Drosophila melanogaster: one gene and its partners. Changing the gene in region 1 together with any one later gene gives a genetic interaction. Each region holds a gene or a part of one and is shown in the gene's direction. Other genes may lie near its edges. The genes, in order: Chro, grh and east.

Region 1 (7,449 bases):
TGCTTGCAGAAACCGCATCTGAAGACGACTTTATCGGCGACCTTGTCAACGCCTTGCCCAAGAGCTTTGGCGCAGCCGTAACATTCCCTGACATCGCTGGTGAGGTCGGATGACGAAGCAGGCATCGCCTCAAACGGCAGTTCCTCAAAATTTGGCACCGGGAAAAGGTGGTGGTAGGAACGCGCCAAGTGCGGCGCGGAGACCAGGGTGAGGCCGCAAGACTGGCACTCCACGGGCAGCTCGCAGTACTTGCTGTTGCATTGCGGGCAGTGGTGGCCAGTAGTGGTCAGTTCACTGGGCTCCTCCAAGTTCTCTATGTGGCACATGCACATGGACAATGGCGCGTCCTTGCCCTCAACTTCATTCTTTGTGTGCGGGAAGCCCATGCGAATAAGCGAGTTGTGCTGAGTCTTAGCGGCGGGCGGTGGATCTACCTGAGACATGAGTTGATCCCGAAAATGTGCATCATCCAAAACAGCCCCGAAGGTGCCCATTGTTTGCTGAGTGAGGTAGCGGGCCACGTGAATCTCAGCGGACAGGGAAATAACCGAGCAGCGTATGCCCTCCTTTTTTAACTCGTCGATGGTGAGGTTAATATCGACAGGATCACATGTGGTGAGCGAGCCCATGATAATGACGATCTCTCGGGAGGCGTGCGACGGCACCACCTTAAGCGATTTTAGGGCCAGATCTAGGCCATTTTGCAGCGAAGGCTCGCTGGTCAAGGACACGTTAGCCAAGCTAAACAAAAAGGGGATATAAATGGAGAACGCTGGTTTGATTCGGTTCTTACCTCTCTAGCGCTTTGAGGTGCACGCGCGAAGTGCCGGTAAGTTCGGTCACCTTCTCCGCTCGCTTAGCTTTTAGCGCTATGAGTCCTAATTGGCTGATGGGGTTCTGATCGAAGAACTCCTCGATAAACAGCTCCAGCAGCTTGACGGTGCACCGCAGTCGTGTGGGTTTCAAATCAGGCACGCTCATGGACTCAGAGCAATCGAGCACAACGAACATGTGGCGCATCATGCCCAGGCGGTTCTGCTTGGACTTTTGAGCCTGCCTCTGGCGTTTGGCCTTCTGAATGATCTCTGCAATGGCTCCATCCAGCATCCCATCCTCGTCGTCCTTGATGGCCTCCCTAATAGGATTAAAAGTAAGTGCGGGCTTACATTGTCACGCACACCATCGCACCATGTCTTTTCATAGCCCGTTTCCCAGCGGTACTCCTTCTGGTCCTCTTGCTCATCGTCGGCCATACTTGCAGTCCTGATGCACTACCAAGTCAAATCAAGAAAGAAAAGCAATTAACGCTAAATAAAATGCGCCGGCTAATGTAACAGTGTGTACACACAGGGCCTACGTTAAATACAATACACTGGGTGGCAACCCTGGGTAAGTATTTATATCAATAAATATCTACAAAAGAATGACATAATAAAATGAAATAATAAAAAATAATTTCGAATTTCTTACCTAATATGAACAAAAAAAGTACAATATTATTATTATTGCGCCCAAAGTTGCCACATCAATAAATATACCCACCACGACGCGTAATTGGCTAACTAAGTGCACCGCCACACGGGCGAACTGAAAAGGGCGCTACACCCTAAGTTTGGGCACTTAAAACCGTGCAAGCATTGAAACCCGCGTTTTATATCATATACTATATTCGAAAAAACCTTCGAAATCTTAAAATTTACTGGACTGCAGTTAGTTTAAAGCTATCGACAGGCAATACACTCCCAGTAATATTAGGATTTAAATAGCTTAGCACAGAAGAGCATTCTAAGGTCCGCACAGCCGGAACCAAATCATCTCTGGACAATTTCCGTGCAGCCGAATTTCGCTTTTGGCATTCAGAGTTCGCGCGTACAACTGTGAGCAGCAGTGGAGCTGCTCGTGTTGAAAAATCGGGAGTCAGTTAAATTAAAATAACCGTTTGAAACAACATTCAGTTTGATATTTATCCAAAATTGTTTATGAAGGTGTGTACCAAAGTGTTCTAGAGAAATCTTTTAATTTAATGATATGTGGAATAGGCTTATTTGCAATCATACCTGGCCTATATCTAGTGCCTGCAAGGTTTAGCGGGCAAAATGAAATTGTGAACTTTGATATTATTTAAACTATATGTAATCCTTTTTTTTAAATGAAAACAAATAGGATCGAACCATAGGGTTTTATTTATTTTAATTTTTAGCTGTGTTGAAGTTCAAATGCATTTGTAACAGATAAGTTTAAGTAACTAATAAAGTCGCATTACGCATAGTTCGTGCTTTTCTGTGTTTTATTATATTATATATCTACAACAGTGCGGCAGGCTCGTTCTTTTCATAATGTACTTAGTGTTTTTTTTCGGCTGCCTAAGCGCCGCTGCATTTTGCCCATTGCAGATGTACATATGCTTGAACTCACCATATCGGACACACACCGCAGACAGCGACCGTTCGCGTTGCCACCTGGTTCAAGTTAGCACAAACACACCACGGCACTGTACTTTTTCTTCGCCGTTTACCAATATTTCAAAACCAAGCAATAACAAATAATAAGACTCCATTCAGCACTATTTTTAAGTCACACTTTAAATGCTCTCTTCAAAGGCTTGGGCGCTGGAGTCGTGAATAATGTTGGCACAGGAGATTTCACCTACGGAAATCGGCAAACACGCAAACATTATAAGAGGTGAGTGACTAAAAACATTGGTAAATAATTTTTATTGTTAATTTTGTGTTCTGCCCTGCAGCTGCACAGGAGGAATTGGCAAACATGGACGTTCTTGTATGTGGACGATGTCTCCGGGCCTACAACTTCGTGGAAGAGTTTCAGGCCCACAAAGAGGACGCCTGCGAAAAGGAAAATGCAAATTTGAAGGAATCGCTCGATCCCAAGCCCACCATCTGGGCTTTTACGCTATGGAAAGCTACTCAGCTGCACTCGCGCAAGGACGCGTCCGGCAGCTCGTGGGCCTTGTACCAGCATTGGGTAAAACTAGACGATAGCGTCCGCGAGCCGTGGATTGTGGCTGGGAAGACCATACAGTCATTCGGCAAAATTGCACACGGACAACTCCAGGACATGCCTGTGCGAATAACAAAGACTGTGGTCAATCCAAACAATAACAACACATCAAATAGCAACAACAACAACACGAGCGTCTCCCCTACCAGAAGTAATACAAAACATTCTAAATAAAAGTCACACTTGTTATTAAACTATATTTAAATCAACAGAATCACCAACCGGTAAGCTGCCTACGTTAGCCAATCAACTAAAGGATACAGAAAACGAAAGACCCAAGTCCAAGCCGAGTACACCAACGCCTTCCTCAGTTCCCTCTGCCGGAGCCGTGAAGCCGAACAACCGCATAGCCATTAGGATCGATTCCAAGACAGATCAGCGCACCGAAGAGCCAGTGGAAAAGATTGTCGCTAAGCGCTTCAATCCGCGCCGTAAGACCCACGAGTATTTGGTTAAGTGGGTTGATCGCTCGCATCATGAAAACACCTGGGAGGTGATGGCCAATCTCGAGCGTGTGCCATACTTTTTGCAGATGTTCGAAAAGCAATTGGCACGCCAAAAACTTACTAGGGAGAAGGGTCTGGATGCTCTGAAGCGCATGCAGTCATCAGGGACAAACGCAAAGTCAGATACTGCCGCCCCACACAGCCCACTTCCGGCGTCGTCGCAGGTATCGCCGTCTTCTCGGCCATCTCGAACTTCCAAGACCAAGGCTATGGATGCCTTTAAGCAGTGGGTCAATGAAACCGTTGCCGGAGATGGATCCTCCTCGCCTTCCTCGGCAAACGAAGATGAATCCTCCACGGAACAGGAATGGCCACCATCTTCTGGAGCGATCAAGCGAAAGCTGAACAATACAGACTCAAGTTTAGAGGGGAGCGGGTTAAACGACTCGATGGACCTAGAGGACCTTGAAGAGGATCTTCCGTCCCATACCGTGAAGCGTCTAAAAAACGGAGGAAGCTCCGTGCAGTTGAACAAGCCACGGATTCAGTCCACGGAAAAGCAGCAGACTAAAATTAACGGCAATTCCACCGTGGTATCGCCCCTAACGGAACAAAAAATGGGTGAAATCATCTATACTGAGGATAGCACGAGCTCCGGCATGTTTCGCAAGCCCGAGATGCCAAACACAATAAATTTGGTATTACGAAATAATGCTATTTCTACGCAGCAGCCAATTAATAACAATGATCTTAATTCGTTGCAGAAAAAGGAGAAACCAGAGTGTCCCGTGCGGTATCTTTCGCGCTCCGAGGTGGGCAGCAGCACAAGAGGCGTTTTTCGGGTTGAAAATTCCGAGGCACCGGCACCCGTTTCGCCTGCACCCGTTCCGCAAAAAGTGATCGCTGCGCCGCCCGCCGCAGGCATAGCCAAGCGTTTGCCAATGGCTCGTCCTGCGCATTCGGGCGCTAACTCGCCCATCACTGTGGGCCAGCGACAACACGCGCTTCGAACTCCCGGCCACGGCCCTGTAACAGCAGCACTTCATCGCCGTCCTGGAGTGGGTGGTGCATCCCATGTGCGTCAAAACTTGCAGCAGGCGCCCGGCCGGGCTCACCCGGGTGGTCGAGTCCTTGCACGAGCCGGTGTCGGAACTCCGCAACATCGCCAACAAGTACAAACTCCTCAGGGTGCCAAGGCAGTTACGCCAGAGCAAAAGATTTTACAGCTGTCAAAGTCAGGGGACTTGAAAGTTACGCGTAAAGTAGTGACCCGGGAAGAGTTGTTGGCTCAGCGCTCTGCCCAGGCACGCCAGCGACAGGCTCTGTCTCAGCAGCAGTCCAGTCAACAACAGAAAGCGACTCCTGCCCGGCAAAGAATAGTTTCCAAGTCAACAATCCAGCCAACGCCCCTGCAAATGGAATTGGAGGAGGAGATTCATCAGCACCAAGCTCAGTTGTGTCCAATCACCGGCAAGCTTATTGGTCAGGAGGAGACCCAACTGCAAATGGAGCAGGAGCAACAGCAGGAGCAACAACGAGAGCAGCTAGAAGCCGCGGCACAGGCCCTTCTGGGCAGCGATCAACAAGTTCTTACCAACGAGGACGGCTCGGCCTTGCTGGTGCGAGGAGAGGACGGCACTGTTTACCAGGTAGCGGGAAAAAATGCGGAGGGACAAACTATTCTCGTTACGCAGGGCCCGGATGGAGAACAGCAATTTGCGTACGTGGCAGCCGCAGAGGGAGAAGACCAGGATGTTCTTTCTCTGGACCACGCAGTGGCCGAAGCCGTTCAAGCCGGTGAACAGGTCGAGTCTCACGGCGTCGGAGCAGCTACGGCGGACGGTGAACAGATTCTCGTGTCCATGACAGAAGAGGAGTTGGCGCAACACCAGGTGCTTCAACAAGCGGAGGCTTCTGCCGCTGGAACGGGAACGCCACCCACAGCTCAGATCCATATCACGACGTCAGACAGCGATGGCACGGAATCCCAGATACCAGCGGAGGTGGTACAGGCAGATTTGCCTTCACCGGGTAAGTCGTGTTTTTCATAAAAATTTGACAAGGCCAGCTTCTTGTGTTGGCTTTTATATCCGTTACTCGTAGAGTAATAATAAAAGTTCATAACAGGTAGAAGGAAGCTTTTTGAAGATATAAAGTATATATTTTCTATTTATAATCAGGATCAATAAGCGAGCAGATCTAGCGTTGTCTGTCTGTATGAACGTAGAGAACTGAATGATTAAGCAGGGATATATATTCGCAGCGCAAGTGCGTTTGTTTCTCGAGGGGTAGATACTATCAGATGATAGTCGATAGCATTTTCTTGCTTTTCTTCTTGCAGAACTATACATTGGGTAGCTTTTTTATAAATCGGAATTGCATAGAAAATTATAGCAATATTTAGGGGATTATTCTTCAAAAACTAACTACTTGTTCATTTTCTGTTTTTTTTCAGGAGGTACACGTCGCGTTGTTTTGTTGCTTCAGGATGGAACCTTCATGATGACTGAGATGCACGAAGATCAGTTTAAGACGCTCAACATCCCAACGTAAAATCATGTTAATAGTATCCGTACATATAATTAGGCTTAGTTCTTAAGACTATTATATTGAAAGAACCTGACGTTGGTGGGTTCTTCCCATTTCCACTTTTGTTTGGTCCTAGCCAATCCATTCTCTTGGCCATAAGTATGCACCAGCACTGACTGAGAGCCGTGTTTGGCGAGTAGTGAATATTATTCTGGCGAAAGCATACCGGGAACCAGAACGCTAAACGTCTAGCGAAACAATAATGCTGCGCCGGGGAAACAAAAGGCATCGAACGATGAAATAAATTATGCGAATACCTTATTTAAAACATTATTTTATCGTGGGAGTCAAGCAGTTTTACGATAATTATCACTGCAGTCAAGGTGAGAGATTCCGCCAGCGTTAAAAGCCTTCATCGATGTTCTCATCATATTTAGTAATTTCCTCAAGCACAAACAAAACATGCATTTATCGGGGTCCCATCAATGATTGGTAATATTTTTGACTTCCTTTTAACTTACAACTCGTAAAATCATTAAGTAAATCTTTGTCGTAGAAAGTTTTAAAGTTCCCGAAATGCATAATTTTGCTTTTAACAAGAATCGTTAAATAACAATGACGGACTTAGATTTAAGTAAAATTACATTAGTTATGAATTGTAAATTATTTAAGTTCTTTTTAACTCGAAAACAAAAAGATAACATTATGTATCTCCATTAAGATAGCACAAGCAGCTATGGGAGAGCAAAGCCTAAATGTTATCAGACTGCATTTTTCAAATGCTTTTCTAAGCGTAGGGTTGAAATTTTCTTGATCAAATACCACTAGCGTAGGTCTCACTTATATCACTCATAAGCCGGCTTACTTTTGCAAATCAAAACGAATGTTTAAATTATCGAGCCCAATAAACAAAAAATTTCAGTGAAGTTGAATTTATTTATATTTTCTGAAACTTCGCAATAAAAAAGCCCACAGTGTCCGCATTTGCTCCGCTTGGACCGAAGCGCTGCAACAGACGAGATTTACATGCCTCGAAACCGGGAAGCGGAAGTCCGGGACCGCCCCACCGGGGAGTGGCATCTGTTAGCCGCAGCTCGACAAATTTTCTTAGTGCCCAGGCCACAAGACATTCGCACTCATCCTCGGTGACGGTGCACGTGCTATATACAAGGATGCCGCCAGGACGAACGAGCTGCACTGCCTGTTCAAATAGCCGGCGCTGAATATGGGGATATGAGGACAAGACCTTAACCTGTTTAATGCTGCAGGACAACTGTGGCCGGTTGCCCAGCCCACTGCAGGGTGCATCGAGCAAGATTCGGTCAAAGCTTTCACATGGAAACGGAGGCCCAGTGAATTCTCCCACGGGTGCAGATGGAGCGTCCGCTGCCACTGCCTCGGTGGAGTTAAAAACATGCGCCGTTATGCTTTTGTAGTGTCCCAATTTGGGCAGCAT
Region 2 (5,126 bases), on another chromosome or scaffold:
GTTCGATGAGATCGGCAGATCCGCGGATCGGTGAGAATCCGAGAACCAACATCAACGTTTCCATGGTTTGTTACATTAATTTTAGGCAATCAGGTTAGACAAAAATGTCCTGGACAAAGGGACGCGCGGAGGGATGGAATGTTTGTTTGTGAATGCTTCTCTTCGGTTTCTTACTTTTGCATAACGGACAGATATAAGACTTTTTGAAGAAAAAAACCAAATATATAAGTACATTTAATGCGATTGTTGTTTGTTTTTAGTTATATACACCGCCACACTCGCACACAAAACACACACACCGATACATGCATACATATATATACTACTTAGCGGTATATGTACAAAAACGTAATCAAGCATTAGTGAAATGTTTCGACCAGTTAAAAACCACAAATTAAATTTATTACATGAAAATCAACTAATGTGTAAACGCAAAAACGGCAAAATCAATAAATAAAAAATGGATTAAACTAAGCCTAAATTTAGTTTTAAACATTTAATATATTGCAACAATAAACCGAAATGAAAATAAAACTCAAATTCAAACTTGAGATGCAAGTGTTTGTAATTGGGCTCCTGGAACTCAACATATTACATTAAATATTTTTAATTTTATCTTTATTTATTGTTACTTATCATCATGAATGTACTTTTTAAATATTTACTGTAAAATTGCATTTTACATAAATATTTTACATTGCGTAGAATGTCTAGTGCTTCAGTGAAAACTAGCGCCCGCTGCTTTACGTTCTTAACCACAGTTCCACGCGTGCGCAGCGCCAAAAGACAAACAACGTGAATTGGTGAGTGCGGGATCCAAGTGGGGGGAGCTCGGAGGAAAGGAAGCTGGGGGGAGTCACCCTTTACCATGGCGGAAAGCACACAAGCACCGTCCGTCGGTTCGTCCGCCGATCCACACGACACAGCGCTGATTGCCGCGCCGCCTGGCGAGGTGAGGTTGTAGGAGCCCGACTGAGGTTAACCGAAAGCCAGGCCGAGAGAACGGAACAGAGAGCGGCGGAGGCTGCGGCGGCACGGCAGCTACTTGGCGTTTTCGATTGTGGTACATGCACAACTATTTTACGTATGTATGCCACACGGAGAAAAAAATCCTTCATTTCACAGTGCTAACAATTCGAGTTGATTTATTTGATTTTATGTTAAATATATGCAATATTCGTAAATTTTTTTAATATTTAATCATACAAAGTGCTTTAGTGATTTAGCTTGTGTATAGGAAACCTATCAACAGTATTTTATATAAGAATTAAGAGTTGAACTATATTAATTATCTGAACTGCTTAACCGCGGAATAGTTTTCAGAAAGTGCATCTTTGTATCCAGTAATTTTTTGCAGGGACTTCTCTTGGCATGCGGTGATCTCGGTCTTTCTCTCCACCTCTCTCCCGCTGTTGTGTGTGTTTGTTTCTCTACCTGATGCCCGATTGCACTACCACTTTCACGCGGTTTACAAGCCGAATGACAACAACAAAAACAGAACAACAAGGCGGCGAGTTCGAAAGCGAAGTAGAGTGAACCGAGCAGCGAATTCGAATTTTCGACGATGAATGCAATGCCGCAGCACAGAAATAAACGCAAAGTCCGGGAGATACGAAATGCAGGAGCGGTTTGCCCGTGTCGAGGGTGGCTGTGGCTCTCTTTCTTGCCCTCTCTCTTTCTCTCTCTTTTGATCTGCCATCTCCCTTCGCCGCAAGTGCATGCTGAAGTGGAAGGTTCGTTGCCTAAGTCTTTTGTACCTGCCTGCGTTTCGGCCTCTGCAGGTGCACCCACACACACACACACAGATGGAAGCACTGGGCTACCTGTGTTTTAGATCGCACTTGTATGGGTGTTTGGGAGTGTAGAGACAACATCATCGATTCGAATGAATTTGAGTGGCGCTGCGCTGCCGGCGTCGCTGCCGCGTTCGCTCAATATCAGTTACGAAAGAGATGAAACCATAAAAAGCAATAATAATCGAGCGCTCTCTAACCAGCGCCGCGAACACAGACATCACCTTGCCACCAATACAACTGCACGACGACGTCGGCAGAGGTGGCAGCAGCGGCGGCAGCAGCACATTCAACAGTTGAACAATCTCCAATTGACTCTTTGGGCATTATAGCCAAGAGCCGAGATCCAGCGACAGCGACGACAAGTTTTCCGCGCACACGGAAAGTCAGCAAGTTAATACACCGAAAATATATAGTTTCAAATCCGACTAATCGTTTCAAATCGAAATTACCTGTGAGTGCGCGTGTGTGTCGCGATATTTGCGAAAAATCCAAAAGTTTCTACGCCAAACAAACAGCAAAAAGTCGCGCTTAAACTTTTTCGAAATTAAATAAAACACACACACGAATTTCAGCCACGAAGAGGAAGAGAAGGCTGAAAAAGCGAAAAAAAACCTCGTGTGTGTGTGCGTGTGTGTTGAGTGCGAGAGTATCTGTGTGTGTGTACGTGTGCATGTCTCTCGGAGAGCGTGAGCTTAAAGTGTGCCTGTGTGTGTGCGCTTGCGAGCTGGAATGAGACGCCATCAAAGCTGAGCAGCGAATAATAAAATGCAAAATAAAAATAGTGATTAATAACAGCAGCCAGAACCAGCAGCAATAACAAATGCTAGTGCGGAAAGCGCGTAAAAAATAGTGAAAATACTCATAGAAAAATAGAAAAAACAACAACAAATTGGCTTGAAAACGCAAATGCCAGGCGCAACGCCCCCGAACCGACCCGCCCCCTCAACTTTTGCGCCCTCCAGTAGCAATAGCAGCAATATGAGCAGCAGCAACATCAAATGTTAGGCCAAAATGCACAAACCGCCAGCAACAAAGGCAGCACCAAGCGAACGAAACAACAACAGCTCCACATACCACAAAGAGTGGCACATTAGAAGCGGCCAAAAGCAGCCAGCCGAGAGCATTGTGTAAGCCAAAGGCCCAGAGAGCCAGGCTAAAAGCCCCCAGACGCACAACAACAACAACAACAACTAAAACAGCACAAAGAGTGGCGAAAGGTGCACCCACCAGCAAAACAGCAACAACGGAGCAACCAACAACAGCAGCAGCAGCAGCAGCAGCCACATTTCAGTTACAGCTCCAGACTCCCAGGTTGCAGACTCCCAAAGCAAACAGACTCCAGTCCACGATCCAGCTCCAGTTCCACCGATCCGATCCACTGCTCCAGCGTGCTCGAGTGCCATAGATCCTCACCAAGTGCCAAAATCCGCATCCTGATCCCAAGAGCTCAAGGCACCCCGGCCCAAAAGTGAGTAGTACTTAGCCTACCAAGAAGTAATTATAAACGCATCAGGCTATGTAGCCCTGGTCGGTTCATGGAGGGATTACACCGTCAGAAATATAGCACCCTATTGACCATTTGGTTTTCGGCTTATAGATCCCTTTTTTCGGGAGATTCCATCACAATAGCTGGTATTCCCAATAAAGAGAGCAATAAAAGCGGGCATTTTTTGGGCACTACTAGGGTGTAGAAACTTTTCAAAAATAAATATTTTTCAAAACTTGATATTTTTAAAAAACATATGGTATTACCAAACTATAAGATATATTTTAGCTAGATTTATACATAGTACGTCAAGTTGATTCGATGGAGTTAATAGAAAAATGGTAATTGGATATTATTTCGATATTATTTGACAACGACAATCTCATAGAAATATTTTTAAACAATTTTGCTGGAGATGTAGGCATAAAATCCATTTAGTTCGTGCGGTTTTAAATTAAAATGCATTCTGCATGTTTTTTTAATAAGTTTTATTATATCTATACGGCTAGGCATTTTAAATGATTTCAAATGTATTGAAACTAAACGATTTCATTACCCTGCTGGCCAGTGTTGCTTTTGAAAGCCTTCGTTCACAGTGGACACCCTGTATGTTGTGCAGACGTAGCCTAAGTCTCTTGGTCCCAGCCTCAACTCGTGTTGTTGTTGTTGTTGTTGTCATTGTTGCTGTTGCTGTTGCCGTTGTGTTGTTGGTGGTATCTTTCGCGCACACATTCCTCTTTGTTTGGTTTTATTTTGTATTTCGTATTTCGAAGTGGCCGCTGCGCAGCGGCAGCGGCAGGTAAGTCGCACAGGTATTGGTATTGCTGTCATATTGCCGTTGTGCTCCCAACAATACCTTGCTAGAGCGGGAGAGTTGGCCATAAAGAGCGGTAGCGAGAAGGGATCAAGACGCCTCTGTCTCGGTCTCGGCCTCTGCCTCTGCGTCGACGTCTACTGCGCAGCCTTCTTGTTCGAAAATCGATGATGTTGCCCAGTGTTTGTGATTACGTTTTCCCCTGGACTTTTGTGCTGCCTTTTGCCTCTTATGTTCTCAGCTTCTTTTTATTATGATTTTTATTTTCTTTCTTTTTTTTTTTTTTTTGATTTTTTCCCTTCTTGATGATGGTGATCAATTTGGGGCTGCGATTATGGTACAGTAAAATGAACATCTACGCAGCACTCACACCGCCAGACACACAGATACATTCAGCCGTGAGATACACACGCACACAGCGAAACAGGCACATGTAACCCACACACAAAAAAAAGGGGGAACTTCGTGAGAGAGTTATTTTATTTTCGTGTTCGTGTTAACGTTTATTGTTTTTCTTTTCTTTAGCCTTTCTTCGTTTCTTCGGGACTTCTTGACTCCGTCTTGCAGCCGTTCCCGTTCCCCTTCGCGCTCGCCACCCCTGCCCCATCCATGCACGCCTTTATTTCCCTGAACATTCCCAAATACACGGAGAGAAAAGGGGATGCATTGATGGTGATATTATGAGGATTTATTTATGCATATAATTATTCTTAAAGAGGCTAAGAAGTCAAAAGCTAAAATAAAATCGTTTCAATGAGTTTCTATATCATCAGATTAATAATATAACTCAAAGTTTTGAATCGACATGGCATTTCTTGCCGTGTACCATCTACCAACTCTCCAGTCTCAGTCATTGGTTATTGATGCCCAACAACTCTGACCGTTGATGTCTTAGGGTTACGCTGCGCATTTCTTCTCTTGTCTTTTCTCCACCTCTCCCATCTACCCCTCTCCATCCCCCCCCTACATTCACGCGAAGTAAGGTAAAGATACGTAAAATCCAAATTTCAAATTATGTCAAATCTTAATG
Region 3 (5,014 bases), on another chromosome or scaffold:
CTTCTTTGCTGCGTGGCGTTTTCGTTTTGTCGGCCATTACGTTTTCCAATTGCCTTTGGCGCAGCCACACACAACACAAAACACACAAAGCGTGTGTGTGCGGCTGCCAATGTAGATGTACATGTTGATGTGCGCCCGCAAAGAAAAATCGTTTTCTAGGTGGAATTATTCAAGTGGGCGTCGTGCGAAAGTATTTCCGTGGCGAAAACTAGTTTAAGAATCGCGAGATTCACCCAATCTTAGTCAGGATCAAAGGAGAAAGGTAAGAAAGACGCCAGGGCGGGCAAGCAACTAGGATAATCGATCGCAATGGCCTTGGTTACTAGTTGGTGATGTCAGTGGCGACGGAAATGGAAGTCCTGGCCACGCACTTGACCCAGTTCGGGAAAATCGCTTTTCTAGTCCCTCCAGAAGCGGCCGAATGGAAAGCGGGCGGAAGAACCATGCATAAAGCTATTGATTTTCCCTCATTTCCCAAGCAATTAAGGCCTTTGCCTTTAACCCAGTTACACGTACATATATCCATATGTACATAAGAACATACAAATGTCGGCATCTACATAATCGCAATGGTCCTTGGGCGGGTGCGAAAGTGGATAAACGGGAGAACCCTTGAGAGCGGGTGGGAGTTGGGCTAAGGACGTCGCCTGACACTTGCAGGATTCAGATTCAGATCTAGCCGCCTGCCGCCCTCCCTTTCGGGAAATGGAAGCTTGTGAAACGTGCAACAACCTACGCCACAGCATCACAAGTTGAGGAAAACCAGGGAAAATCCGCAGGAAAACCGAAAAGGAGTAGGGCAAGTCTGGCGCTCGGTGGTGGCGCTCGCTTCTTCCCAATTACCACCCCCGAATCAACGACATGTTATTTTGCCGAGTCCTTTTTTTGCTTTTTACCGACGCAGAAAAAAAGACGCATCAGCAGCACCAACAACAACAGCCGACGTCGCGGCGAAAAGAGCGAACAAACATTTGCCAAAAACAACACGTACACCGGACGAAAACGCACGTCGACCTGTTCACTTCCCTACAAAAACAGAGTTGCGAAACATCCCAAGTGGTAACGTCAATCCTTTTGTTGCAATGAGTGCAAAACAATTTTTAAAACAATTGTATTTATTGACTATTTTACTTATTTTTATTATTATTTTTTAAGTGCATTGTCAGTTGGAATTTCAATGTTCCCATTATTTATAGAAGTTGACCCAGCAAATGTTTCAATTTACGCGCGATTATGCTTTTTAATATGACTGACATAAATCAAATCTGTATAAATGCAAGATATGAAAATTATTAATTTCAAAAGCATTCCCAAGGGAAAAGTAAAAAATTAAAAGTTTAATTAGTCAGGACAAAGCTATCCGAATGCAACTTCTTTGAACTCATGATGGCGACGAGGAATACATCCTGGCGACGGCAGGACAGGCAGCCCTCCCCGCCGCCCACAAGCAGGGTTGCATGCACGCCAAGCCAAATCCGAAAGCAAATCGGGGCCGATAGTGCATAATATCGTGCGGCGAAGAGCGAGACGAAGAGTCGTGGCGAGTTGTGGCGAATTGAGGTTTTGCGCCGTCGGGCCGAGCGTCGCTCTTTTGCTCTTCATCTTGGCTCGTTATTTCGCTTCGCACCGTGTTTGCGTTCACAACTCTTGTTCGGGTTCTGCATTTTATTTTATTATTATTTTTTTTTGTTTGTTGCTATTCGGTGAGTACCTGCGGAAAAGTAAGGCAAGGCGATGAATGAAAGGAACAAAAAGGAAAAGAAAACGAAATGAAAAGCCATGCAAAGGGTTTTCCTCGTCAACTCGCTTGTTTGTGTTTTGTGTGCAAAGTGCCTGGTGAAAAGATGTACTCGCCGTACTGCCAAATGAGAAAACGGCAGGCGTTCGTTTATTAATGCTCGCGTTCGTATTTTTGCGAAAACCTGGTGAAAAAGAAATTTTCTGTGCTCGCTACTGCCTGTGAGTGTGTGTGAGTGAGTGTGCGTGTGCCTGTGCGCTGCTCGTGTCTGTGTGCGCTCGCTTTGGGTGTGCATGTACGTCACTGCCACCCATTTTTGTGTGCTGTTCTGGTTCTTCGTCCCGTCTCGTGTCGCCTCGCTGTTCCCTCCTAGCCGTCCCTTGCGGTTTTTGCTGCAACTCTGCGGAAACTCTCCACGAATTCCCCCCTTGCCTAGCGCACGAAGAGGATGGCAGCTCTGCCAATTCTTTGGTAACTTTTCCGCCTAGTGAAAACTGCTGCCAGTTTCCGTTCGCTTCAGGTACTCCGCTTCTTCCGTTCCGTCCAACTGACTGTCTGCCCGTGTTTACAATCGCGGCGTTTTTGCACACTGTGCCGTGCGTCTGTGTGAGTTCTACTTGGTGGTATATCTGTGTACATGTACACACATCGATACGACAGCGGAGTCTTCATTTTGTTATTGCCATTCTCTTTCACTTCCTTTTCGCCTGCTTTGTTGCTGTCGTCGCTGTGACAGTTATGCTAGTTGTTAGTGTGCGTGTCGTGTCCGTGTGAGTTTTCCGCGTTTCTTCGCCGGTGCGAACTGCAATCTGAAATCTCGCACTCGCGCTAAAATGGCGCATGTCAGAATCGAAATTAAAATCATAAGCCAAAAGCTACTCTGATCGTCAGGCCACGAAGAAGCGGAGAAAGAAGATGAAGAAGGAGGACCAGCAAGCGGCAACAGCAGAAGCAGGATACCTAACCAATTTGAGGATTATTCAACATCTCATCGACTCTTCAGCTTCTCTTCTCAGCCTTGCCCAGTTGCTGCTTCTTCCGACTCTGCTCTTCTCTCCTCTACACGCCACTCGTCTCCTCTGCTCTTTTCTCGTTTTGCTTTCCTCGCATTCTCGCAGCTCCCAGCTGCTGCCAAAACTTGTTTTCAGCAGCGATAGAAAAGAGGGGCAATGGAGCTGGACAGTGGCTGGCAAGGAGAAGAGGGGGTTTCTGGAAACCGCAAAAGCATGTTTAATGTTCTAGTCGCGTTACTGGACTCCGAATCGGAATCGAGTGAACGGATCGGATCGGATTGTCCTGGGGATTGAATGAGCTAAAAGGGGCTAAGAGAGCGGCTTACTTTCGGCCAGGTGAAAGCCAGGGCCATAAAACTAAGTTTACCACATTACCGCTTAGGATTTCGCTTCGGCTCAGATTAGCTGTTATACTGAAGTTTGGAGATTAAAGTCCTTTGATAATATTCTTTTAGTTGGATTGAATCGACTTAATAGTTGATTAGTTTGGAGAAAACACAACAATGTTGAGTTACAACTAAAAATTTGATTTATCTAAGTGAGCATATACATTATGACTTAGCAATCCAAAGGCTTATCAAAGTTTTCAATGCTTATCAGGGATTTTACAGGTGGGATGGGATTTCCATTCACTTAACAAGTTTGAATTTAGAAGATAACGAAAATATTTTGGTCTTCCAGAACGATTTTATAAGAGCATTATAATTAAAGTTGAAAGGATGCAAAAGAAACCCAGAATGGCGTTTCTTTTTGTTTTTTAAATCTAGTGCAGAATTTAACCTACTTCTGGGTTGAGCTGTTTTTGCTTTGCCAATTAGAACGTTATTCCCACATGGCGGATTAGTAATACGACTTAGTAACTTTCTTTTTCCCCTTCTTCGCGTCCTTGCAGATATTCTTCACATCACAGTCAACCAATGGGACCAAATCACTGCGACTCGAACTGGACACAATCAGCATCGGATCGCAGGGAACAACAGGAGGTGGTGGAGCAGCAGCGCCAGAAGGCGTCGGGGGAGCGGCCATCATAGGAGCAGCAACGTCGGCAGCAGCTGCCCAGGGCCCCTCGAGAATGTCTAGCCGGAAGGTGCCAGGAGGCTCTGGAGGAGCTGACGAATCCACAGCAGCAGCTGCCCCCCTGGATGATAATGCCAATGCCAGTGTGGAGATTCCAGACAGCAGCGAGGAGCCAGCAATGGGCGTCGGCGAAGAGATGTCTATCATAAGCAAAACACGCACCTCAACTTTGTCAGTGGAGCCCGCTAAGGAGCCAACAGTAACAGCAGAGCTGGAAGGCGAAAAAGAGCTGGAATCGAATCCAGTCTCCAAAACTCCTAGGTCCACGCCTACGCCAACCCTTACGCCAGCCGTCACGCCTACCGCCAGTGATGGAGTGGCGGCCAAGAGCGTGAGGGTTACCCGGCACTCGTCGCCACTGCTTCTGATCATCTCGCCCACGACAAGTAGACGTGAGGTCGGCGACGGAGAGCTAGACACCGAGGAACCAACGGGATCGGGTGGCCAAAGAAAGAGCTCCGTGGAGCGATCTTTGGCGCCCGTTATACGCGGACGAAAGTCCATCAAGGATCTGAAAGAAGCCAAAGAAGTCAAGTCCGAGGAGCCGCCTGCCGCAGCATCAGAGTCACGAGCTGCAAGTGGAGTGACGCCTGGCCAGGTCAAGGAACAGCATGTCGCGGATGGCAACGAAATGGAATCCTTGCCAATCACAGACAAGAAAGACCACAAAGACACAAAAGACAAGGGAGATGAGCGGGAAACCGATCAGGAGGAAGAGAAGGAAAAATCAGCTGATACAGAAATAATTGCAGATACAGAAAAAACTTCGGAGAAACAAAAGTATACAGAGAAGGACAAAGCTGCCGATAAAGATGGAGGAAAAGAAAAAGATATTGATGCAAATAAGGATATAGATAAGGAGAAGGAAAAGGTCAAGGAAGTACTTCCGCCAGTGGTGCCTATAGCACCAGTGACACCCACTTGTAACCGTGTCACACGTAAATCACATGCCCAGGAGCAGGCGATTAACACGCGGGTCACTCGCAATCGTCGCCAGTCCTCTACAGTTGGAGCCAACTCCACCGCGTCTTTGGTAGCTGCATCCTCCTCAGTAACAGAGCAACCCCCTCCATCTCGCGGTCGACGGAAGAAGCCAGTGGTGGTGGCTCCTCCCTTGGAGCCTGCGGTAAAACGGAAGCGATCGCAAGATGTTGAAGCCGACTCAGACGCCAACAACAGCACGAAA

The links.
Region 2: of Chro (region 1) and grh, changing one suppresses a phenotype caused by changing the other (phenotypic suppression), as found in Drosophila melanogaster (one study listed by BioGRID).
Region 3: of Chro (region 1) and east, changing one suppresses a phenotype caused by changing the other (phenotypic suppression), as found in Drosophila melanogaster (one study listed by BioGRID).

Annotation. Positions count from the first base shown.
Region 1 is NT_037436.4:22,873,170-22,880,618, reverse strand, and holds Chro (chromator), read left to right. Parts: upstream 1-1,634; 5' UTR 1,635-1,985; intron 1,986-2,393; exon of another isoform or gene 2,394-2,600; 5' UTR 2,601-2,624; coding exon 2,625-2,682; intron 2,683-2,743; coding exon 2,744-3,169; intron 3,170-3,230; coding exon 3,231-4,162; intron 4,163-4,228; coding exon 4,229-5,495; intron 5,496-5,919; coding exon 5,920-6,017; 3' UTR 6,018-6,917; downstream 6,918-7,449. Other genes in the region: Ssl1 (suppressor of stem-loop mutation), read right to left, coding at 1-741, 794-1,135, 1,189-1,253; CG11109 (uncharacterized protein), read right to left, coding at 6,931-7,449.
Region 2 is NT_033778.4:17,800,128-17,805,253, forward strand, and holds the start of grh (grainy head), read left to right. Parts: upstream 1-2,118; 5' UTR 2,119-3,264; intron 3,265-5,126. UniProt on the Drosophila melanogaster protein: Transcription factor that binds a CNS-specific regulatory element of the Dopa decarboxylase (Ddc) gene. Also interacts with sequences adjacent to other transcription units, including Ultrabithorax (Ubx) and engrailed (en).
Region 3 is NC_004354.4:2,010,699-2,015,712, forward strand, and holds the start of east (enhanced adult sensory threshold), read left to right. Parts: upstream 1-1,944; 5' UTR 1,945-1,959; intron 1,960-2,422; exon of another isoform or gene 2,423-3,087; intron 3,088-3,643; 5' UTR 3,644-3,823; coding exon 3,824-5,014.